Linked DNA regions of Schizosaccharomyces pombe. Changing the gene in region 3 together with the main gene of any one other region gives a genetic interaction. Each region holds a gene or a part of one and is shown on either strand. Other genes may lie near its edges. The genes, in order: igo1, med14 and pyp2.

Region 1 (6,985 bases), 4.0 Mb from region 3:
TAATCTCTTGACGATGGGATTTTATGATTTACCTCTCTCATTACTAATTTGATTTAATCCTACAACGCAGCATTTTTACTTTTTTTGCCAGCTGGTTCAAGCTGGATCTTTTGGCATATTGTAAAGTGCTTAATTTCTGTTGAGGTTTCCCTATAACTATAATTTCTGATACTTGTTAGTGTTATGCAAACATAGTTATTATTTTCCATGAACTATAATGCAAATGTTGTCAAGTTTCATTCAACAATACTTCACAAATTCGCTCTGAAAATATCGAAATTTCTAATTTTATGCATGCGTCGAAATAAGCGCCAATTGGCTTGTATGAAATGCCAATGTGAAAATCCAATGGCTGCGATTACATATGCAGATATTGAATATCCTCACAATACGCATTTTCTACTTTTAGACTCAATTTCGTGGATACCGTGTACATGTAAAATTCTCAAGTTAAAAGAATTCGAGCTGCCAGATCGCTTTGACATTCCAAATTTGTTTTATGATGGTTGGTTATCTTATGTTTTCCATACGTTTAGTGGTGTCTATTTGAAAATTGGTTATGAAATGGATGAGAGCGGGTTTTGCCTTCCTGATCAGGTTTATCACTTGATCGATAATCATTCTTGTATACAGACAGCAGTTTCGCATCTACTTCGAAATCATCAAGCTCTATTTAAATATTTGTGCGACTATCTACGTTCGGGCGAATTTCCATTAACTGTTTTGATTCATCATGTCATGCTCTATCAATATTACCCGAAAAGTCTTCAGGAAGCCTTGTGGGCAGCAGTTGAGCATTATGTAAACAATTCAGGAGAAGCATACAGTACTGTCCAAAAGTTAGCTGTACAGAAGAAAATTGGAAATATTCGCATGTATTTGGTAAATCCGAGGGATATCTTTGCTCTTGGCTCGACATGTAACTGCATTGTAGTAAGTTCGTCGAATTTTCAGTCATACGTACAGCTTCGTAAGCCGCTATTGGAAAATAATCTACCTTATGAAATTGATGGATTTGACAAAATTCTTCAGTGTGCTAATTCTGAAGCAGACATCGGTTGGATTGCAATGATTCACTGTATTGGCTCAAACGGTTATGCCTTCCCAATCCATCTCTATTTGAATATGAAAAAAAATATATTTCTCGGTAAACTACCAGAGTCGACGTTGCTTTTGTACAATAGTGATGGTGCAATCTTTAAGAATCCGCCTTCATCCAAAAAGGAATGTGACTTTTATAACCAATTGTTGCTAGATCTCTGCAAATGTCGCCAATTCAACGCCGAGATGGAGTGTAACATGAAAAAATTGTTCAATAATCCAACGGGTCTTCATTCATTGCCAAATTTACCAAATTTTTCTGAAGCAGGTTCAGCAAAATCAAGCAATTTTTGCTCGTCAAAAGATAACTGCTTAACCAATAGACTAACATTGAATTGTCTGGATACACCTTCAGATGAAAATGGAGAAGATATAGCGATTCAACTGATTATACCTGCTGAATGAGATGAGGATTGATAGAATTCCGAAGAAAATCTCGAGTTGGCTGAATTCGCCAATCCGAAAACATCTTTCACAAAAAAGAACCCAACATCAAGCTTGATGGGTGAGCCTAAAGTTATATGCGAAAGGAATTGAGTTTGCTTTTACTAAAAAATCTAACGAAGCAGATGATTTATGTTGACCAGCTATGGTGAATCGGTGGACCGAATTATCGTTTTGTGACAACGGGAACGAAACGATTTTTTACCCACATTATTACCGAACTACACTCACATCCTGACCTTATGTATTTGGTTGGGGAATGACATGACTGAATTATAAATGATATACAAAAGTTTAAATTAAAATCACGTAAAAGCGAAGAAAACAAAAACAGAAACCAAAAAATTCTTGACCTTACTCGGTATTCTTTACAGTTTCCGTTCCTTTTGTAAGTATAAGAATAAAAACAATGCCTATTTTCGCTTTGCGGTTGCCTGCTGAGCAGAAAACTAAGCGAACCTTAATATTCTTTAAACTTTCCACCATATTTACTTTTATACATTAGAACTGTGTTGTTCAATTTCCTTAATTTTTTCGACTGCAAATTACAGTAAAGTAACAATACGTACTAGAGGATATACAAAATATCTGTTTTAAATGACAGATATTTACTATGTCTTTAATGAAAGATATAATACCTACTTGTAGGTAGTATTCTCTATCAGTAAGCCCATGCGCAAATATCGTACACTCAAAGGACTGATGATGAATGCTGGACAGGTCGGTACAATAACTTTTTGTAGCCAAGTCCATCGCCAAACGTTTCTCCTTCAACTAACTAACTAACTATAAGAACAATCATGCACGTATAACCAAATTATTGTTCCCGTATGCACATACGTTATTGTACATTTGAGTATGCAAACATGAAGGCGACACATCCGCTAACATGCCAAATGTATATCATTCATTGACTGCCACTCGCTTAGCTAAAAGTGCGAACGCATATGTAATTCTATGAGAAATTTAGTCATTTCCACATGTAACAGTAATTTTGCGAATACTAAGGCTAACATGACAATCGTAAGCCAAGAAGACTTCCTAATTTCACTTCAGACGGATGAGCAATTCACAACTAAAAGTTGCCTCAAATCACTACTACCTGTATCACGATTAGAATGAAAATGTCGGATTTTTGAGATGTTATCGCCATGATGCAATCTTTTCGCAACTAAGTACTTTTTCTATTAGCAAGATAAACCGACTCCTTGAAGCAACTTCATTCTCTAGTCCTTATTCTGATCTCCAAGTTAGGTAAATGGAAATTCAACTATTTGTGCAGAAACCCCATCTCCCATTATTACCCTTGCTGCTCTTCTTTCTATCTGTACACTTTGGGAAGGGACTGTTGAGTCGGACATTCAACACTTTTTACAGCCACCAAAAATAGGTTGCCTAGACTAACAATAGGAAGGAACTTGTCGTCATGTTAAAAATCGGCCTTGCTCATAATAATTATTTTATTATTTTATTTTTTTTTTATTAGTTTTGGACGCAGCGATAAAATGCCCGATAAGGTTAGAAAGAATAGGTTATTGGCAAGAAAGTAGGGTTAACAAGTGAGTCGGTAGAAAGCATGTTAATCAAGCGAGTATGCAAAGTCTTCGTCAAGGATTCCACTCACAATAGCAAAGGCAGCAAGTTGTTTGTAAATAGTAAACAAATGACATTTGGCATAAAACCGACCTTATCCACTTTACTTTTTCATCATTCATGAGAAATGCCACTTAATCAATGAATGATCATTTAGTGTAGATTAGCTCATTCAGCCGCTATTTCGTTGGAATCCAGTAATTTTAGAGTGTTTACGTATCGACAAAATTACGTATGATACCTAATACGTTAACAGTGCGGTATCTTAGGCTTCGGTAGACAAGTGGCCGTGTGGTATATGGTAAGAACGCGCAAATGGATGTTGTCAACAACCATAATCGCCATGTCTTCTAGCAATTCAGAGCAGAAAGTAGACGTTGCAGTAAGTTAAGATTGTACAGCTGAAATTGATTATTAACTGAAATAGAAATTAAGTCCAGAAGAACAGAAGCTTTTCCGTTTGTATGGACGACTTCCTCAGCGAAAGGATCTATTAGTTCAAAAATTACAGGTATGGAGGAATGGATGTGTTTTGGATAAATTGTCATATTTATTCTAACTCTACCCCTTTTTAGCAAGGTAGAAAATACTTTGATTCAGGCGACTATGCCTTAAACAAAGCTGGAAAGGCCTCCGATTCAGGTATCACTTGTATTGGTAAGGAGATTCCCTCTCCTGACACAATTCCTCACCGTGTTGTCAGTGCTGGGTCTCCTAATAAAGAGCCGTCTCTTCACACGAAACGACCCTCAGAGTCCTCGCCTAGTGGTGCCAGTAGCAGAAGGGAATCTGTCACGCGACACGACTTGGAAAGCAATGAAAATTGAGGTCATACACGTTGCTATTTTTGCGACAAGGTTGGAGGTTTAATTTGGCTTGGCTCTTAAAATTTGGTATTGCTTGTCGTGTGCGGAAATGCTGTGTGCAAAATTGTGGTCTGGCAAAATGGAACGAACGCGTTTGTTCAGCTGTCAAGAGTTATGAGAAATATATAACGATAAAAGTCTACGAAATGAAAACGCTTACTACTCTAATACTTCCCTTTTCTCTTCCTTACCCTTTTCTACGTAGTTGATGGAGGACAACACTTCTGTTTTATTCAATGCATCGCGCATTCCTTTTCTTCGTTTCTTACTTTAAATCTTTTTTTCATTTTCCTTTATCAACTGTTGTTCTATCTTGTAATTTCTTATATGGTTCACTTGTTTTTTTGTTGTCAGAACACTTGTCACGATTTTGGCTATATGGCATTGTTTAATTCCAATGTTTGATGATTGTTCTCGTCATCGCTCTTGCGTATTGCACTATTGTCGTCTCGTCTTTTTGTGAGTTTCAAGTGTTTTTACTTACTTTATTTTTCTTTTTACATTTATTTACAATGTAACGTTTTATCATTCTATAGAGCAAAATGAGCATATTCTAAAATTTAATTGTTGCCATTCGTCGCCACGTGGATACGGTGTCTCCAACGGTTTTACTTTCGAAAAAAATTTGCTGTATTTCTTTTGTTTTTCTTTTTTTTTTAGCGTGGCTTATCTTACTGAGCTTGGTCAATGTGATAGGAATAAAAAAATGAAGTGTTAATATATATTTTCTCGTAGTGCCAATTTTTTTGTGTTTGGCAGATTATTCAATTAGTCGTTAAGCATTCCTTCTTTTCTTGCTTTTTTTACTCATGAATAAGAGTAGTTATGCGTGAAATAGCATTCCTTATCGTATGTATCTACAAAGTTTTTTCGTCGAAAAAGATCACCGTAACAGTTATGTCGTCACGATACCTTCTTGAAATTGGATAAGTCAAGGTTAATAAAGCAGATATTCTTTGGTCGCTTCCACCCAAAGAATGTCGAATAAGGTGCGTGGCAGCATTATCATCAATGACCTTTGATGTTTTCTTAAACAGCGACCATGATTGTTTGTCATCCTGAGTTGTGTTCTTTTCGTTGGTAGTTTTACCCAAAACTGTATCTGCCCATTCTCCGACCAATTGTACTGCTTGTTCACTGGACATAGTGTCCCAAAGGCCATCGGAAGCCATAATTAGAAAGCGATGCTTCTTTGGATTCACGGTGATACTTTCAATTTCAGGGACCGCAGTAACATATGGAGGAGTTTTAACAGGGATGGGTGAAGCGGAAAAATATTCTCTGTGTAGTCTCTCGCTAATTTCCTGGGACCATTTGTAACGAGCGTCGCCAAAGGCTCTTGAAGGCATAAGACGTCCAAGAATCCTGTTATTACGAAGGACTTCTTCGCCTGGATGCTCAACTTCCAAGCGAGATGCTTCATCAGGATTCATTCCAGTTTGATCGCGACTAAGTGGGATAGCTTCCCAAGAGCCATCGGGCGTACATTCTCCAAGAACAGCCCGCGAATCACCAGTACAGGCAACCTGAAGACTCTTAGATTTTGCTGAATACGAAGTAAGAAGAGCGCACGATCCTGATAGAGCGGGTAACAATAGACTAGCGGCTACTTGGAGTGACTCTGGATTGTTGAATACATGGGAGACATGCTCGTGTACAATTTGATGGTCAACTTTGGCAAATGCCTCACTGATCGACTTATCGAGCGCAAGAGATGAAGGACAAGCATTTTGATGATAGTAAGATGCAGTACACTTTTGCAATTCCCTAACGACTGCTGGAACTAGGTGCTGGCGTAAGAAAAGAGAAGTATTCCAACCGGAATGTCCGTCAAAAATACCCCAAAAATACCAATTCCCTTCATCGATGTTTCGATCTATTACCTCTACATGATCGTCTTCGCAAGGATCATTGCTGGCAACCTGATTGAAGTCGTAGCGAAAGATGCCATCTTTGTTGACGGTTACCGTTCGCTCAAACTCTTTCAGGCGTTTTGTGATACCATCCCCATCCGTGGGAGGAACCCGATTTTTAGAAACATGCTGATAAGTGCTATTAGGTATGTCCAAGGCAATCGCATCCTTACGAATATGGTAAGCAGCTAATCCAATGGAGGAAGCGGCTATAGCGACATATTTAAAGTTGTTACGCTTAAACACTTTCGAACCAACGGCTGAGGTAAAAAAATTCATCGATAATCCCCTTTTTTTAAACTTAGCTTCCAATTCATTCGTAGACTCCACAACAAATACTGCTGGCGAAGTTCCAGAAATCTTCCTCACTAATATACCGAATGTGGTTTTGTGAAACTCAGTAGCGCAAATGCTCAACCACTTTGCTTACCAAAAAACGGTTACTAATAAAACGATATGAAGGAGTATCGTCGCGTGATACAAAATTGGTATGGAAAGATGTTATTATCACACTCTCGGAATAGGGTGGCACCGACATTCCATATAGTGATTAAACACTTTCCCTTGTTCGTTATGGTTCTCTGTGGCTTTTAGATGGTGTTAATGTACGTGGCATTTCAATTTATTTACACAAAAACAGTAGTTTTGACTAGATGTAATAAATTATTTATTGACTATGAAACTTTCTTAAAGAAAGAGAATGGAGAGGGTTTGTAGAAAAACTAATTGTAAAGAAAAGTTGGCTTTCACTGTAACGTGTAAGAATCGAAGAGCATTAAAAAAAAGTAGATGCTGTGAATGCATTAAAAATTTATTTTACATAAGATAGTGGGATGGAAGCATTTAATACTTACAATACCAAAAGGCTGAAGACGACAAAGTGATTCCCTGATTGAGAAATAAAGCTGAGCATACGATTTACCTAGCGACGTCTTGCATGACTTTTTGAAAGGTTGAGCAATCAGACTTTGGAAAAGGGGTCAATATTTTTGGGTACAGCTCTTCCAAGCCTTCTACCAAGTTTGAAGTTGAGCACGTAACCAAATAATTCATCGAGGCTAATTTGGT
Region 2 (8,948 bases), on a different chromosome or scaffold from region 3:
GCAAACCGATACGCAAATTTTGTTTTGCAAATGTTATTGTATATAAAAATCAAAAAGATAACGAGATTGACCAACACAGAAGCGTTTTTATTTACTTTGAGAAAATGATTAGTTTGCTATATTTCATATTAAAATAAATTGAGGTAAATTAATAATTGAAAAAAATTGTAAAATTTGATATTAAATAAAACAAATATGAAAATACATCTGCTCTCTCATTCCCAGAACTTCGAACAAGAGAAGCAGAAGTCAAAAGTGGTAGTAATTTCATGGATTAAAGTAAAAAAAAAAGGATGTGTACAACCTATCGAAATATATACCTATACTCACAATGTACACATGAAAAATAAACACAGATATCGAGAATTAGCTTATAGAAGATAATCAATTTTTATGCAAGGTCAGAAAACACCGTATTATTTCTAACAAATCGAAAGCAATAATGGTTCAATACGTTTATGTACCACTGTGGAGGAGTGTCAAAAAAAAATCAAACCTGTAGGGTAATTCAGAAGAAATGGTAAACGATAGATGAACCGTTCGAATATATACAACGGGAAGAAAACAAGCATATATACAATCATAGAAAAAGATTTGTTTTACATGAAATATTCTAACTTTTTATGTTAGTTTTTCGAAGAACCAAACAACCAGAAACATATACTCAATGTAGTCACGCTTACCAAAGCGCACAAGGATACAGCAAGTAAATAATTTAAGGCGTAAGATTGTCAATTTGTGAAATTGTGAGTTGAATATTTGAGCGGATTTTCTCCAATTCTTGAAGGGGCATCAGAGCACTAGGTTCAGGATCCATTTTTTCGCAAGATTCAAAAAGGCGTTTTGATTCACGATCTAGCGCAGATATCATAGTAGGTAATCGGGGAAGGACCTCTGAAACTTGATTGATTTGTTGGTTCAAAACTCTCAGAGAGTCATTAAGTGTTTTATCAAACTCAGACAAAAGGTGCTGGGACGTTTCGTACAATATAGAAGGGTCATTGCTCTCAGGAAGAAGCTGATTTAATTTATCAATTGGGCTCTTGAATTTCGAGGGACCAAATTCCCCAATCCAATCCTTCTCGGGCATTGATATTTGGCGTCTTTCTTCAAGTAGCCCTCGTCTGTTTTCCTTTTCTTAGTTCTTTCCGAGATCCTTCGTTTCGGTATACTAAATTATATATTATGGTCGAGAGTGGTATAATTTTAATGAATGTCATACGCACCTCGTAATAATGTACTATTGAGCATTGTCGATCCACCTTATAACTAGATGCAGAAAGTGTGCTTAACATGGCTTTATGAATACTAACGCGGTAGCTAATCCCATTCAAGTGGTTTTGAAATTTGTATATTCGCTTTAGCAATGTCCCAAGAAAACCATGTGGATGTCCCTAGGAAAAGGATTCGGATTGACCAATCTGAGTCTTCAAGGAATTTGGAAAGAAATGGATTAGAAGATGAAGCCAACGCTCCTTCAGATTTGAGCGGTCAGAAGTTTTATATGACCGAGTCAGATGTAGGAATTGATGCGTTTTTGAATCCAAATCTTCCTTCAATCGATGGAATTATTAAAGCAAGATTCACGGATTTTGCTGTTTTTGAAGTTGATACAGATGGAAATATAGTTCACTTAACTGATATGGAAGCTCACGATCCTATCCTTTCGAAGGCAACCGGAGACAAGGAAACTGAAGACGCAAAAGATTCTTCTAATCAAGATATAAGTAATGACCAGAAAGCTCCTTCTTTTAAGGAACAAGAACCTGCTACACTGCCTATATTGCCGAATGACCTCCAAAGTATCATACCTAAGGGAATTGGTAATGAATTTATTCAATCTCTTCATAAGCTATCAGTTGGTGAAATAACTGATCCCATCTCATTAATTCTTCCCGAAAATACTCCTCCTATGGATAAAGGTCAGCGAACGATCTTACATCAATTCATACGAAACAACTTTTCTGGACTCGAGTCTTCTACAAAAGGGAATGGAACTTTTACAGTGTCAAAGACCACCAGAAAAAACCAGCCTAGATCACGAAGAGATCCCCGATTAAGTTGGAAGGCTTTGGGTGGTGAATATTGCCATTTCCATTTGTATAAGGAGAACAGAGATTCTATGGACTGTCTTGGTAAAATTGCCCGCCTCCTCAAAGTCCCCACTAGGACTTTATCAATTGCTGGAACCAAAGATAGAAGAGGCGTAACCTGTCAACGCGTAGCTATTCATCATGTTAGAGCATCTCGACTCGCACAATTAAACTCTGGTTCTCTTAAAAATTCCACATATGGTTTTCTTTTGGGAAATTATTCTTATAAAAATTCAAATTTAAGATTGGGAGACTTGAAGGGAAACGAATTTCACATTGTAGTGCGTAATGTTATTACGCCTAAAGAGAAGGTTGTTGAAGCATTGAATTCTTTAAAAGAGCACGGGTTTATTAACTATTTTGGTTTACAAAGATTCGGTACCAGTTCTGTCGGGACACATACCATTGGAGTTCGTCTTTTACAATCAGACTGGAAAGGCGCTGTCGACCTAATTTTATCACCAAGGCCCGAGCATACCGGTTCTGTCAAAGAAGCAATTGATTTATGGCATTCCACTCATGATGCTGAAGCTTCTCTTCGCATTCTTCCTCGAAGGATGATAGCTGAATCCAGCATTTTGGAAACATGGTCTCGATCTGGTAATCAAACTGATTATTTAGGAGCGTTCCAGAGAATTCCCCGTCACTTGAGAAGTATTTACCCTCATGCATATCAATCTTACGTTTGGAACAGAGTTGCTTCTTGGCGGATAAAGAATTTGGGCGATCGTCCTGTTGTGGGAGATTTGGTTTACTCTACTGAGTCTAATGGTTTAAGTCAAAAAAGCCCTATTGTTGACCCAGAGGCACCTGATCTTCTAGAAGATTTACCTGTGAGCTCAAAATTATCAGCTCGTCCGATTGAAGAGGACGAAGTCAATAACTTTAGTATTTACGACATAGTACTTCCTTTACCTGGTCGTAATGTAATATACCCAAAAAATGAAACTTTCGATATATACAAGTCTGTCATGAATGAGGCATCACTTGATCCATTAAATATGTCTCGCAAAGACAGAGAACTTTCATTACCTGGTGATTATCGAAAACTTTTGGTGCGTCCTGAAAATATGGAGTTTAATTTCATAAAGTATGACAATATGGAACAACAACTGATTTTGACGGATAAGGATAGATTGGAGAACCGTTCTATTTCAGTGAGTTCTGAGGTTGGTAAGCACACCGCTGTTACGTTAAAATTTGTACTTCCATCTTCTGCTTACGCTACTATGGCTTTACGAGAAGCTTTAAGAACTGCAACTGCTAGTGGTGATCAACGTATGTTGATGCCAGCGGTACTTAAAGATTCAATATAAAATTTATTAGCTTAAAAGAACACAGCTTTGAATAAACTTGGGATTATGGCGATTATAATAGAAATTCATTTTACCTACGGAAGTTTTTTGCTTATTCATAAATGATTAAGCGTTAATTCGACGATCTCTAATTTACACGTTGGATTATATAAATCACATGTATCATCAATGTAACATTCACTTGTATACTTTAGAAAACGATTTTCATTTACCTCATTAACCAGACATTTTTTGCCGTATTTATATATACAATCACTAATCACTGCCACCGAAAGGAATGGACGGTGGAGGGGGTGAGGATTAAAAGCTTAATATGAGTTCATTTTTTTCGAGAGATCGCTAAAATTCTTTTTAGAATGGCTGTTAAATCAGCCGTTTTGTTCATCTTTATTAAGTGCATCTCGGGAGCGGCCTCAATCTGACCATTAAGCTCATCATCACCCAAGTCACCTTCCCAAACAGTATTAAGCCATGAACAAGGTTCCCATTGAGACGTCAAAGTCTGAGTTCCTTCCAAGTATCGGGAATCGGCAGATAAGTAGGATAAATCTTGGAGTATACATCCATGGCGATTTAAAAGAACTTGAATGCCATGATTTTTGGATAGGATAATTCTGTACTGACGCAGAGATCGAGCCAAAACAACGTAGCCCAATTCTTGAGCTACTAAAACACCTCTCGTTCTATCCATAATTACGCGTAATGGTTGAATAGCTGAGGGCCCATCAGAAAATGTATCCTGCAAAAACTGAGAAATTAGATGAAACGGACTATGTCGATTAAAAAAATGAAGGGTAAAAGTGTTGTCGTCATGAATTGTAGCCCTAAATTTCTCATCATCGAGATATGTAAAGTCCACATGCTTTAACGTGATACAATCTACATTGAATGCAGATGTTTTAGACAAAGCAACAAGTTTAAGTAATCCAATCCATGTTTTTTCGAAAGATGAAAAATTTTGCACACGAATGGTAATACGACCGGTTCTCCAATCTATGTAGCAGTTCTTTTCAGTTTCAGTCTCAGACTGATACGGCAATTTTCCTTTTATTCGGGAGTCAAAAATTAACTGCCCGTCATGCGCGCGAACGAAAACCACAGGAAGCATATCTTCATTAGACGATGGCATCATAATACATAAGCATCCTGTTTGGACGTATGTAGTAAAGTCATCTTCAATTAGGGCTTTTGGTGGAATAGGCAAATATTCAAAAGGCATACCACGAGCTTGGCAAGCAGTTTGAACATTGAATAAAAGTATTTGGACTTCCAATAGGTACGAAAGACGGCTAAAACTTTCAATACTTAAAGTACCTTTTGTAGTATGAACATCTTGGGTGTAGAGAGTTTGACCCGCAGCGTTCAACAATCTAACAGACCAAGAGTTGGATTCAACGTTGTACGCGAGTACCCATAGGGAATCGCCATCTTTTCTCCATTTACCTTTGGAGAATGTAAGATAAGGGAAAGAATAGTAACCTTGAACTGCATGCAACTCAGCACACTGGGCAACTTCTAATAGCTGCGTTTGTATACAAAAGAAATACAACCGATTCAAGATTTGGGCGGGAGGTTGCGTATTCAAAGCAATATTTTTTTCAGCAGCACGAAGATGCCTGGGAGGTGATAAAGGTGAAGCCGAACTCGACAGCACGAGCCTGCCGGTAACGCTGTTCACCTTGACAATTATTTCATTATCAAAGACATGAATTTTTAGACCACCACCAACATGTTCACTAAATATATTTGGGTGAAGCTCCTTACGGATTTGTTCCAGAATAAGTTGAGCGTGTTTTTGGGTAATTAATAATAGTAGATGCTGAGCATCCATATGATCATCTAATGGTACATGTTCAACAATGCCATCATGGTGCCATTCAACGAGTAATAAAAAATGATCATATTCACAACTGGATCTCTTAGAGCTAAGGGTACGCTCAAAGGCGGATATGGGTTGAGTATTTACAAATATATGAATATAATGACCAATTTTTCCGGGTTTTCCTTCTTTTTTCACATTTAATTGGGGCCAATAGTATAGACGTAGCCGTGGGGGCTTTTCATCATAGACACCGCGCAAATGCCCTAACCAACTTTCTCTGGATAGTTGAAAAGTTTGTTGTGACAATAAATTAAGGCGCTGATATAAACAAAATTTATGAAGGATATTATATATTAAAGGTAGGATGGGCTTTTGTAGAACGAATGCAGCAGCGATTTCTTCATTGAGATGCAATTCTATAAAAACCCGATATTTTGCGGGAGTAGAAGAAAAATCAGGAAGATGAAATTGAAAGTCAACAACAATCCACTGGAATGAAATACCGGTAGATTTAGGATCTTGGGAATTGGTTGTCAAAGACACTGAAAACTCATTGGGAACAGTAAATGTGCAACGACCATTAGCAATTGTGAAATGTTGAAATGGTGTCGGAATAATTTCATAAAGACTAAGACGAATTCTAATAAGCATGTTAAGAGCATGAAGGGTTTGAAGTATTTGTTTGGTACTTAGCGGTGATTCAGATAGCATGTATAATTTTGAAGTGGGAGCATTTGCTAGACGAAGACTCGTGCCAGTTGACAAAATATCTAATGCAGTAACTAAATCTGAGTTGCGTAGACGTGCAAATGACAACTGGTAACGAATATCTTGTAACACATGAACTAAATTCTGGAAGCAAAATTTTTGACCTTGAAGAAAGGCTACAACATCTATGCATCGATGAACTGAAGGAGATAGATGTACCCAACGCGCTAAAACTAGCAAACGCATAGTGAAAGCGCGCGAACGTAATAACCAATCTAAGATCTTTTTCTTTTTCTCGACATTTGACATAGAGGGTAGAACTTCGGCTAAAGACACCAATTCTTGTAACACATGATGACTAAAAGTTTCTACTATCTCAGGAAGAGGATAAAATCCTTCTGTAATGTGTGGAATCGCAGGCGGTTCCATCCTCAATTGGAGGAGTTAGGAATTTCGTGTAATAGCGCCTTTAATTAGCCGATCCTTTACCAAAACTAAATTTCGTAATAAACATAAGTTTTGTTCTTTTAAAAACCCTTAAAAAGGATTCTTTATATCTCTTTTACAGAAATCTTCGAGTAGCGTGCCAAAAGCAACTTCACACAGCTCCCGTGAAACTCTTCGATAACCTTCGTTACGCCATTCACTGAGATTGTTAAAACGCCTTAGGTTTATTCATTCAAAAAATTGGAATAATCAATAAATAAGCAATTTTAAATGGAATTAAATAATAATTGATCAATGATATTACTAAAATGGGAGATTTTGAATAAATTTGAGCTAGTATAAACATGCCCTGTTATGCGATAATCGCATAAAACATAGTTTGAAACTATGGATAATGAAGAATAACAAATGAGATGGAACCGTTCAAAAAGATTCTCGTAATTCTATAGTAGTTAAAAAGCCCCTTCTTTAAACTGAACGAAAATCATCATTAAAGCTGTTCAAACTTTGCTATCAATTTTAATCAGAGCTTCAGCGTGTCTCATTAAAATGATAATAAAACAGTAATTTAGAAGAGCTAAGCCGAAAAATAACATTTGTTTTGATCATTTAATTATTTTCTCCACGACCACAAGAAGCTGACAAAAAATTTTTAATATAGCAAAACAAAAGTAGAGCACTATTCCATTTGAATGATTCAAAGCTCTATTAACAATAAATTTGGACAAATGGAAGCATAACCTTCGGTTTTAATAGTAGTATAAGATATGGATTTCTTGAAATCCATTTTAACTTTTAATGAACTCCAACATCGGTCTCGTTGCTAAATTAATTCAATAGCACACGCACACTATAAAGGCCAGATTTTATCGCTAGAACACAAACGGTGGTTTAACAACGTCAATTCATAGCTACTACATTTCCAAGTAGTATTCCAATAAGAAAAAGATCATGTCGTATTGGGTGGAACTATGGGAATCAATTTTCACACCAGGTGTCACACCTGTATTGGCTAAGTCAGCACACGTAGCCTGTGGTGCACTTGTCGCTGTTTTTCTTGGACTTTATATAGGTACAAAAAGTATTCATTGTCTCATCTTATTTTTCCTGGCAATCTGTTTGTGGCTGTCGCTAACATGGTACGTTTATCCATGAGGAAGTTGAACATCTCGTTCACTTTTTTACGAGTAGTCCAGATCATTCATTAACAACTTTATAGGTTTTTGGTTGAGCTTGCACATGCTCGAGTTAATAACGATTTGCAGATGTCGTCTCAAAGTGCCAATAAAAATGACGACAACTCAAACAATCAAAATCCTTCTAATAACAAAGAGATGTCTGATAAAGAATCAGATTCCGCGACCACTACTCAGACTTTTTCTGTTCCTGAAGAGCTTTTGAGAGCTCGTACAACTGCCAATAATAGTTAGAAACTATAGGTCCAAAAAAAGAAGCAATAAGTTCAAGAGCACTGGTAAAAGTTCTCTTCTTTTAATAATAAACCTCAATCTAATATAAGTTTTCTTACCTGTCCGATTTGCTGGTCATTTAAAGATTCTAGTAGATCCGTATTACTGTATTTTTCCTGTTTCCAGCTCTCGTTTTCTAGTGCATCCGCATACCTCTCCCACGAGCTTAAAAATCCTACTAAATGCAAAGGATTTGTTACGTTCCGATGTCTTCGAAATTCCGCCTTTACATATTCATCTCCTAAAGCTCGTTCTTCTGCTCCTAGGTGATAGCGATGCGCTCTCAACACCCTTCGGTACAGAGGCAAAGGAGGTGTCAAAATATTCTTTTGTTTCATTAATTTCGTTATGTTATTCATTGGTATATGATTTTCTTTAGATACCGTCTTTTCAAAAATTGAATTCCTTTTAAGTTTCTTGTTGTGGTTGTGATGTGGAAGGCAGTTTGCTATTCATCGCATTCACACTAACAATTGCAAGGTCTTCTTCTACCAAATGTAAACAATACCACCAGAAGATATACTAGTAGGAAAAGTGAGTGTTCCTTCAATCATTTGTCTTGAAATCTTCAATTTTTAATTCCTTTTTCTTTTGAAAACATTACTTTGTGTTATCGGACTACGTAGAAAGGACTTGTCGATTTGGTATCGATTATTTGTAGTTGCTTGAATTCATTTATTTTAAGATTAAAGTATTTATCAGAAAAAATTAAAAGCATAATGAATGATACTGATCTGTCCACCTTTACTGGCCGTTCGTTGTTGATCGATCAATTGAGCTCAGTCACACAGGGAACACCAGTATTGGATTTTATTGACAAGTTGAGAATTCATTTCTATACCACTATTCGCCAAAATCTCTTAAAGATTGATTTAAAAAACATATGCAGTCTACACGACTTAACGGACCAACTAAGTGACTTTTGGCTTGTTTACGAACAGAGTGTCTTAGAAAGTCCTATTTTAAGTCCTGAACTCGACCGAATCCTTACATGCTTCCGTTGCCTTTGTAGAAGGTACTTGCCCATTTCGGTGATTGAAAGCGTTCTAACAGAATATCTGGATCAAGTTTTAAAAGTATGGTTAGAGAGTAA
Region 3 (8,219 bases):
CTGCTCAAAAGGTGAAAGTGGCAAACTTATTCACTTTCTCTTTGAGTAATTATTCACTGTTTAATGGTCTTTGATGCTTCCTTTTACTAATTGAAGCAAGTCAGTTACAGTGTTTGCTTTTGGCAAAAGCTCCTTTACCAATTGATATGTTACTTAATAGCAGTAGGGGTGACAGCGCTAATGGATGAGGAATGAGCTATAAAAAGCAGTAAAGTAATTGAAAAAAGTTAGGAAGAAGAAATCCTAAGGTCCAAATGTTTTCTTTCTCACTTAAGAAGCGAATGTTGTATGGCTAGTAATGGTTTATGTGAAAAAGGAAAATTAGCAAATAATCCGTTGAAAGCCTTAATCATGAATATTTCTAACAATAACTACTAATATTTAGTTTATTTTTATGTCAGCGAGCTATCTTCGTCACAGTTAAGCAAAATAGCTTCACTTGATGATTATGGACGAGCTTAACACCTAAACACTACGCTCTTCCTACTTTCAGATACAAAAAGTAATTTTCGTCCGGAAAAGATAATATATTTTATTAATCTCATAGATTTTACGAAATTTACTAAAAATGCTAGGACAAGGCTTGATTTTTATCAGTTTAGCCTTTGTTGCTCATGCATTAGAAATTCCTATTTCTTGCGCTGTATCACATAATGAGCAAACAGAAATATTTCCACATGGTACTATTGATATCCCAGAAATGACATTTCGTCCTTCGGACTCACAAATTGATTGGAGTAATCTTTCTCACTCTGATTTTGTACAATGTGGAGTATACGAAGATTCTACCAACACATGGCTTGCAGGCGCCAGCAAATACAAAATTGATGAAATAAAAACCCTTCCAAAAGTACCTAGAGACCACTATATCATACTTTGTGATTCATCAGAAAGCAATGAGATTGCAAAATTTACTCAAGTGGTCCACTCATTTGATTTTTCATCCGACTCAGAAAGTGCTGTAGTCGAGCAATTGCATCCTTCTTCTCCAATTCCAATTTTAACTACTGCTGTCAGAAAAAAGGGATCACGTCCATCTAAACCCCAGAAGGAAAAACAAGGAAATAAACAGGGTTCTAAAACCGAAGAATCTCCAAATGTGGACGAAGATGAATTAGAGTCCGAACCTGAGGAAAAGACATTTTTCCAAAAATATGGTTTATATCTCATCCCGATATTGTTTCTGATAATTATGTCTGGTAACAATGCAAATCAACAGGCAGCAAATACGGCGAAATAAACGAGTCATTATATATATGCCTTAAAACAATTGCGTCTCGGCTACGATAATTTTTTGATTATTGCTACTACTTACTGTGCTCTTTACAAATATTCTAATTCATCTATTTCCATTCAATAATACTGCTATGTGCCAGATGTACGATACTTAATAGTACTTTAAAATCTATACAAACATTTGTAATGAAATATCGTATAGGAAAGGTTAAAATAAAAAAGAAGGAAGTTTCTACGTGCACATAACTAATTTAGTCTTTAACAATTATTCCATTCCAACATAAACAAGATTCATTAATAACTAGATATAAACATTCATTACACGCATGAGATAAAATCAATTTTTAACAACAATAAGGAAGGAATTACACATGATTACCGGAGAGTGTGGTTAAGTATTTTTAACATAACCTTCGCGTCAGATAATGTAAAAAATGAGGAATTACACAATCTCACATAAATAGAACATAGTGTGTACAAACACAGAAAATTAAAGAACAGTCGTTTCGTTAAGTCATCAAGGGCTTGGAAGCCTGGTTAACGCCGCTATTTAAATAATCCACGACGTCGTAGAGAAATTTGAATTGCTCAAAGTTTTGAACCATTTTCATCCGTTGTGATCTCAACGAGTTAACACAATTGAATATGAAATCTTTTGAATCTTCCAAATTGGTCGTCTTGGGTAAAATGTTTTTTGGTACCTGAAGTATTTGGTCTACAGCAATAAAAGTACCAGTGCGTCCTACGCCTGCTGAACAGTGAACGAACATTGGTCCATCATTGGGAACCTTATCAATACAACGTATGATTCCCGTGATGCTTTCAATATCTGGATGGGTTTTGTCAAACCACGTGTGCACCCAAAAGTGATGTATATACTTTGGAGGACCATTAGGTTTATCCAATCGAAACAAATGAGTGTTGACCTTCAAATCTTCAAAGGTTTCATATTTTTGAACAGATATGCGTAATCCGCCTTCCAAGCATAATGCGTGATCTTTGTTATCTGGCCAATATTGAGAACATTTCTCACTTCCCGCCTCATACAGATTTGTGAGCATTACGATAACACCATTTGTTCCTGAGTTATGCCAAACCATTTCCCAAAAGTCTAAAAGAGTTCCCGGCTTAGGGGCCTGGCAGGCAATATATTTTTTATTTCCAACGTCTATATGTGAAGCATTAATATAATCAGAACATCCTTTTGGAACGGCTAGACGGACTCTTGTTTTATCGTAGGGCACGATATCTGTGTAACGATTTTTTCTTGAAATGGAAGTGGAGCGGCTGGAAGCTAAACAGCACCAATCAGATTTACTGTCATTAAACGCTAGGGATCTAGTCATTTCCATTTCCTCAAGTCTTTTAAACTTATAAAAAATAGAAGCAGTATTTAAATCCGCAAGCACCTCACAAGGAGGAGGAGAAACCTTTTTGGCACCCCAGGGATTACAAGTAAAGGGTCCTTTGTTTTCCTTGGAGAAAATGCTTCCCTTGGTCTCTTTATTAAAGCACGGTTTGTTAGCTCTTCTTAGACCGCCTGGTTTTGGAGCATCTCGTGTGTTTGATAAACCAACAGATGGTTTAAGTTTGCTTGTCATCGTACTAGTACCATCATTCTGTGCATTGCTATCACGTTTCATTGACTTCCGTGGAATAATTTCCAAGGAAGCTTGAGACAAACTTGGATTGACGACGTTGCTGGATTTAACATAGTTGCTAAAGCTACGAACGCGAGAAGCAGAAGGCCGTCTCTGATTATTCGAGGAGGGATAAGAAGGCACCGATCGTAGAGATGGCCTGGCAGGAGTTTGCTGAGGGGCATTGCCTACGATAAAAAAGTTTTTCTGTTCATCAGGCGTACTAGGACAAGAAGATGCGCAAGAAATGGCGGGAGAGATTGGAAAATATGGCATTTCAGCTTGAAAAGCTGAATTTGGGGGAGAGAGGGGTGAACCATATATAGATTGGCACGAACGAACAGAAGAAGCAGTAGGAGAGTGAATCGAAAACGGTGTTAAACCTGAAAATCCAGGGTATTCCGCATGACTCGCGAACTCACTAAAGGTATCGGAGACTACCGAAGGTGTGCATAAAGGTGGTGGGATGTTAATAGGAACTCTCAATGGAAAGCTATAATCTGGTGAAATAGGGGTAGAAACCGCAGATGGATCGGATAAATGAAGGATATCCAGCTTGCAATTCTCATTGATGTCAATTTTGTATGGGACCGACTCCTTGACCATTTCGGTAGAGACAATGGCGTCCGGATGAGAGGAAGCAAAGGCTTCAAATCCATTGCTTAATAAATAAATTTTTTTGGAATATCCACCACGTCGAAACTTCTGTACCAAATCATAAATACGGTTCATGCCAGCCATGCTAGAGTCGTATAGGAATATGGCATTAATTTCATCCAACGAGACTTTTACGTTGCATTTTATACAGGCGAAAACCTTTCCAATGTCAAAAGACGGACGACGTAACAACGCAGTTGGAAGAGAAACGTTGATGGCATTTTTTATATGGCTAACAGCATATTTGGAGTGCAGGCGCAAATCAATAATCCAAGAAACGCTCTCGGTTTGTTCTTCAAAAGACTTAAGAGTAGAGTTAAATTCGTCTTTAGACAGAAGATGGAGCATAGTAGCACAAAATTTTTGAAAACACCTTGGAAGATGTTATATCCTAAGTAAAAGGGACAGAGACAAGATTGGCCAAGCTAAAATATATATACAGGAAACTTTTAAAATGGCACACAAATTAAAACGAAAAAAAAGATAGCAGGCGAGTGTGAAGAGGTGTGCGGGTTAAGAGAAATTTTTTGAGTTATTTACAGTGTGCTTTCGGAAAAAAAGAATATAAACAAAATGGAAACGTAAGAGAGAAGAAACTGTATAAAAATAACAATTATTGACTTTTTGCGAGTTCAATCAAGGAGTCAAAAATATAAGACAAAGAAACTCCTGGGCGACGTGAACAAGGATGAATGAGGAAACTTGTTGATTGAAAGAGACGAAATCAAACAAGCAAATAAATAAATTTTTAATAAACAGAAAATAAACAAAATTAAAAGTTTTGTATTCTTGGATGATGGTGGTTAATTTTTTTGTGATGAAAAGGAAAAACTGCAACTCGATTTTCCCTTTGTATTGCCTATTGATGTTGAACAGAGAAAAGCTCCTTTTTGTCAAATAAATAGAAGTCCGCGAAGTGGCGCTGGGATATAAAATGCAAAAAAGATAGATGAGTGAATATATATGAATAAATAAATAAACAACTAGTAAATGAGTCAAATAGGTGAAATCTTCACGTAATATACACAAGATGGGTAAAGTTGAAGTAACTTTAACACGTAACAAAAATTTTCTTCTACGAAGAATAGGGCTTCCATGCGATCCCTAAATCTCGTACACTTAAAATTGGTACAACTTGGTTTTTCCTACATTTCACCACCAGGCCCTCATATATATATATATATATTTTACATGTAAGAAGGATGTAGATCGATTTACGTCTGATCCTCGGTTTTGGCACCAGGCACTGGGCAGTGAGACCAGGTAACATACAATGTAATATTATGTAGTCATGACGTGTCAAGATCGTAGACGAGGAAAAATTTTAGGCAACAAAAACAACGGCTAAAAGGAGATTGAAATGAGCTAAACCAAGGAATTTTTTGAAGCTGAAAAATGAGTTCTTTTAGTTTATAAAGTTGATGATGATTTTTTTCTTTAATTCCTCGAAAACAAAGTTCGGGTACTAATGTACCTAATTTCACGGTCACGTCATTCTCTGCTACCTAAAGGGGTTTCCCCATACTTTTCTGCTAAGCGACCGTTTATTCTAAGATATAACGAGAGGTAAGATGGCAATACGGTGTACTATTTAACGAAATATTGCATAATGTGACGAGTGACGCTTAGAGCACAGTAAGACCGGATCTAGTGAAGCCGAATGCATGGAAGAAGCCCTCTCTTGGGCCACAGCAAAATAAAGGGCCGCAGCGAACCAAGGCTAACTCGTAATTAACACTAGTTGTACTGTGTAGCACTATGCAGGATTAAAGAGACTTTGCAAAGCCGGGAGATTGTCTTAATGTGGACTATACGTACGTTACTAGAAAATTGAGTCGCTATGGCATGCGCTATTGTGAAAAGTGGAGAGGGGGGCAGGGAAGTGAATGACTCGGTGGTACTTTACGTACTCTCATGTACTGCGTGTTTCTAATCGTCAGGTGAATCCAAATAATCCCCTTGTTTTGTTCACATCAATAATATGTCTTAATTATCTTCTTCTGCCTGCTTCCCCAGATTCTCTTCTGTACCCCATCTTTTAACATTTTCTCATGCCAATTTGAACAAGATAGACATGTGAAGAGCGAAAAAAATTTATTTACACATTCGGTAATCAAAAGTGGGGACTTGTTATCCTTTGAAGAATCCTTACAGAATGTGGATTTTCTTTTGTTTTGCCACTACGCAAAAGAAACATTTTCTTTCTTCTTTTTTTGGCAAGCGAGAAAAGGGTTGATCGGGACTGACATTGGTAAACACTGCAATACATTACATGTCGGGAACCTTTTTTTTTTGTCTTGGCTTTCTCTAATCTTTGTTTGCAAAACGGTCAACAACTAACACCGTGTTGCCAGATGACATTTTCTATAGTTCACTACTTCATGGGTGAAGAAGTGCTCTTTTTCAACGGTGCTCTGTAGAGGCTTTTATTTGGTAGCTGCAGCAAGCTTCCCATGCTCTCTTGGTAACAAAATAATTACAGATGAAATGAACCAAAGAAAAAATTCGAAATATGTCAGCAATCCTAAGCTAAGTTAAGGTGCACTGCGTTAAAAATCATTATGCGTCATGTGATGGAAACTACTTAAAGATTTATTAATTGATAATTATGAAAGAAGTAGCATTCGAGAAAATTTAGGATTCTTCTGATATTTAAATTCTACATTAAAAATCGTAAGTAGAGTTCATCTAAACTTAGGAACGAGGTTCATACATAAGCAATTTCAATGATAAGTCACAATATCATTTATATATACAAGAATATCAATAGCAGTGTTACTCAGATTACCTCTATACCACAATATAGCAGGTTTCAAGTAAAACTTACTGTAATTGAACGTATCTTCAGAATAGTGAATTACTTAATCGTAAATAATGTAACAGTGAGTAATCGAAACAAAATAAAATAATACGCTATAACGATTGAATGTCTATATCACTTATTGTCAGCAATACTACACTACGCTATAATACACTACGTTGAGTATCACTATATGTCACATGTTCTAATTATATATCGTACCATGTATGATACGATATGGAGATTGATCTTAATGATAATCTATTAAGATCAATATTATCTGAATACTATAAATAGAGCTACTGCTGAACCTCGTTCCTCAGTTCAGTTATGAGCTATATTAGTGATAGGTAACATTATAACCCAGTTAATACAATACCTATACTCAGTTGCTACTTATACAACCTGTGTATTGTAATATAATAGATCACAAGGAAAACTCACCGCAGTTCTACGTATCCTTAAATCAGATACCAAACTGCGTAGCTTACAATAACTGAACTCTTGTGATCTACAATTAACTCCTTTTAGGAAAAAGGAATTATTGAATAAATATATATCATAAATATATATATTTCTCTCCTTCTGGGTTCAAAGGAGAAGGAACTTTGGAAGGACTGTTATCCCTTTTGAAATCTCCCAAAGGGAAACATATACAATGTCCTACGCAAATTATCGTTATATGAAAGCAAGAGCAAAACGATGGAGACCAGAGAATTTGGATGGAATTCAAACATCAGACGAACATTTAATAAACCTTTTTGCAAAAATATTATCGAAGCATGTACCAGAGATAGGGAAATTCGATCCAAATAAGGATGTTGAAAGTTACATTTCAAAACTTGATCAACACTTTACTGAATACCCTTCATTATTCCCAAATGAGCATACTAAAAGACAGTATACATTGAATCACCTAGAAGAATTAGAGCAACAATTCGCTGAACGCATGTTTTCTGAGAATGGAAGTCTTACATGGCAAGAATTACTCAGACAAACAGGGAAAGTACAAGGATCCAACAAAGGTGATCGTTTAACTAAAACATTTGAAGGTTTTAGAAATCAATTGGACAAAGTTCAATTTATAAGGAAACTCATGTCAAAAGCAAATGTTGATGATTTCCATACTCGCTTGTTTATATTATGGATGCTGCCATATTCCTTAAGGAAATTAAAGGAAAGAAATTACTGGAAATCAGAAATCAGTGAAATTTATGACTTTTTAGAGGACAAAAGAACAGCCTCGTATGGTAAAACTCACAAGCGTTTTCAACCGCAAAATAAAAATCTAGGAAAAGAGTCCCTTTCAAAGAAAAATAACACCACTAATAGCAGAAACCTGAGGAAGACAAATGTTTCGAGAATAGAATACTCATCTAACAAATTCCTAAATCATACTAGGAAACGTTACGAAATGGTATTACAAGCTGAACTTCCAGACTTCAAGTGCTCAATACCCTGTCTAATCGATACGGGCGCTCAAGCAAATATTATAACAGAAGAAACTGTTCGAGCACATAAACTGCCTACCAGACCCTGGTCAAAAAGTGTGATATATGGTGGAGTTTATCCAAATAAGATTAATCGCAAAACAATAAAACTTAACATAAGTCTAAATGGAATATCAATCAAAACAGAATTCTTGGTTGTAAAGAAATTTTCGCATCCAGCTGCTATCTCCTTCACAACATTATATGACAATAACATTGAAATATCTAGCAGTAAACACACGCTCTCTCAAATGAACAAAGTTTCAAATATTGTCAAGGAACCTGAGTTACCAGATATCTATAAAGAATTCAAAGACATTACTGCAGAAACCAATACGGAAAAGCTACCAAAGCCAATAAAAGGGTTAGAATTTGAAGTTGAACTAACTCAAGAAA

What was found.
Region 1: of pyp2 (region 3) and igo1, changing one enhances a phenotype caused by changing the other (phenotypic enhancement), as found in Schizosaccharomyces pombe (one study listed by BioGRID).
Region 2: of pyp2 (region 3) and med14, extra expression of one rescues a mutant of the other (dosage rescue), as found in Schizosaccharomyces pombe (one study listed by BioGRID).

The regions. Positions count from the first base shown.
Region 1 is NC_003424.3:1,235,460-1,242,444, forward strand, and holds igo1 (serine/threonine protein phosphatase inhibitor Igo1), read left to right. Parts: upstream 1-3,436; coding exon 3,437-3,520; intron 3,521-3,565; coding exon 3,566-3,649; exon of another isoform or gene 3,650-3,713; coding exon 3,714-3,965; 3' UTR 3,966-4,726; downstream 4,727-6,985. Other genes in the region: SPOM_SPAC10F6.15 (uncharacterized protein), read left to right, coding at 208-1,506; SPOM_SPAC10F6.17C (bifunctional phosphoprotein phospatase/[pyruvate dehydrogenase (acetyl-transferring)]-phosphatase), read right to left, coding at 4,862-6,196; N-acetylglucosaminyldiphosphodolichol N-acetylglucosaminyltransferase Alg13, read right to left, coding at 6,836-6,985. UniProt on the Schizosaccharomyces pombe protein: Plays an essential role in initiation of the G0 program by preventing the degradation of specific nutrient-regulated mRNAs via the 5'-3' mRNA decay pathway.
Region 2 is NC_003423.3:1,992,561-2,001,508, forward strand, and holds med14 (mediator complex subunit Med14), read right to left. Parts: upstream 6,534-8,948; 5' UTR 6,369-6,533; coding exon 3,729-6,368; 3' UTR 3,446-3,728; downstream 1-3,445. Other genes in the region: SPOM_SPBC1A4.11C (uncharacterized protein), read right to left, coding at 716-1,090; pus7 (pseudouridine synthase), read left to right, coding at 1,367-3,409; V-ATPase assembly factor Pkr1, read left to right, coding at 7,338-7,525, 7,606-7,816; sdh7 (ACN9 family protein), read right to left, coding at 7,752-7,799, 7,915-8,214; anaphase-promoting complex cullin family subunit Apc2, read left to right, coding at 8,575-8,948. UniProt on the Schizosaccharomyces pombe protein: Component of the Mediator complex, a coactivator involved in the regulated transcription of nearly all RNA polymerase II-dependent genes.
Region 3 is NC_003424.3:5,198,485-5,206,703, reverse strand, and holds pyp2 (protein tyrosine phosphatase Pyp2), read right to left. Parts: upstream 4,049-8,219; 5' UTR 3,882-4,048; coding exon 1,746-3,881; 3' UTR 1,502-1,745; downstream 1-1,501. Other genes in the region: protein Emc10, read left to right, coding at 569-1,240; Tf2-8 (retrotransposable element/transposon Tf2-type), read left to right, coding at 6,992-8,219. UniProt on the Schizosaccharomyces pombe protein: Plays a role in inhibiting the onset of mitosis. Dephosphorylates sty1/spc1 and wis1/spc2/sty2.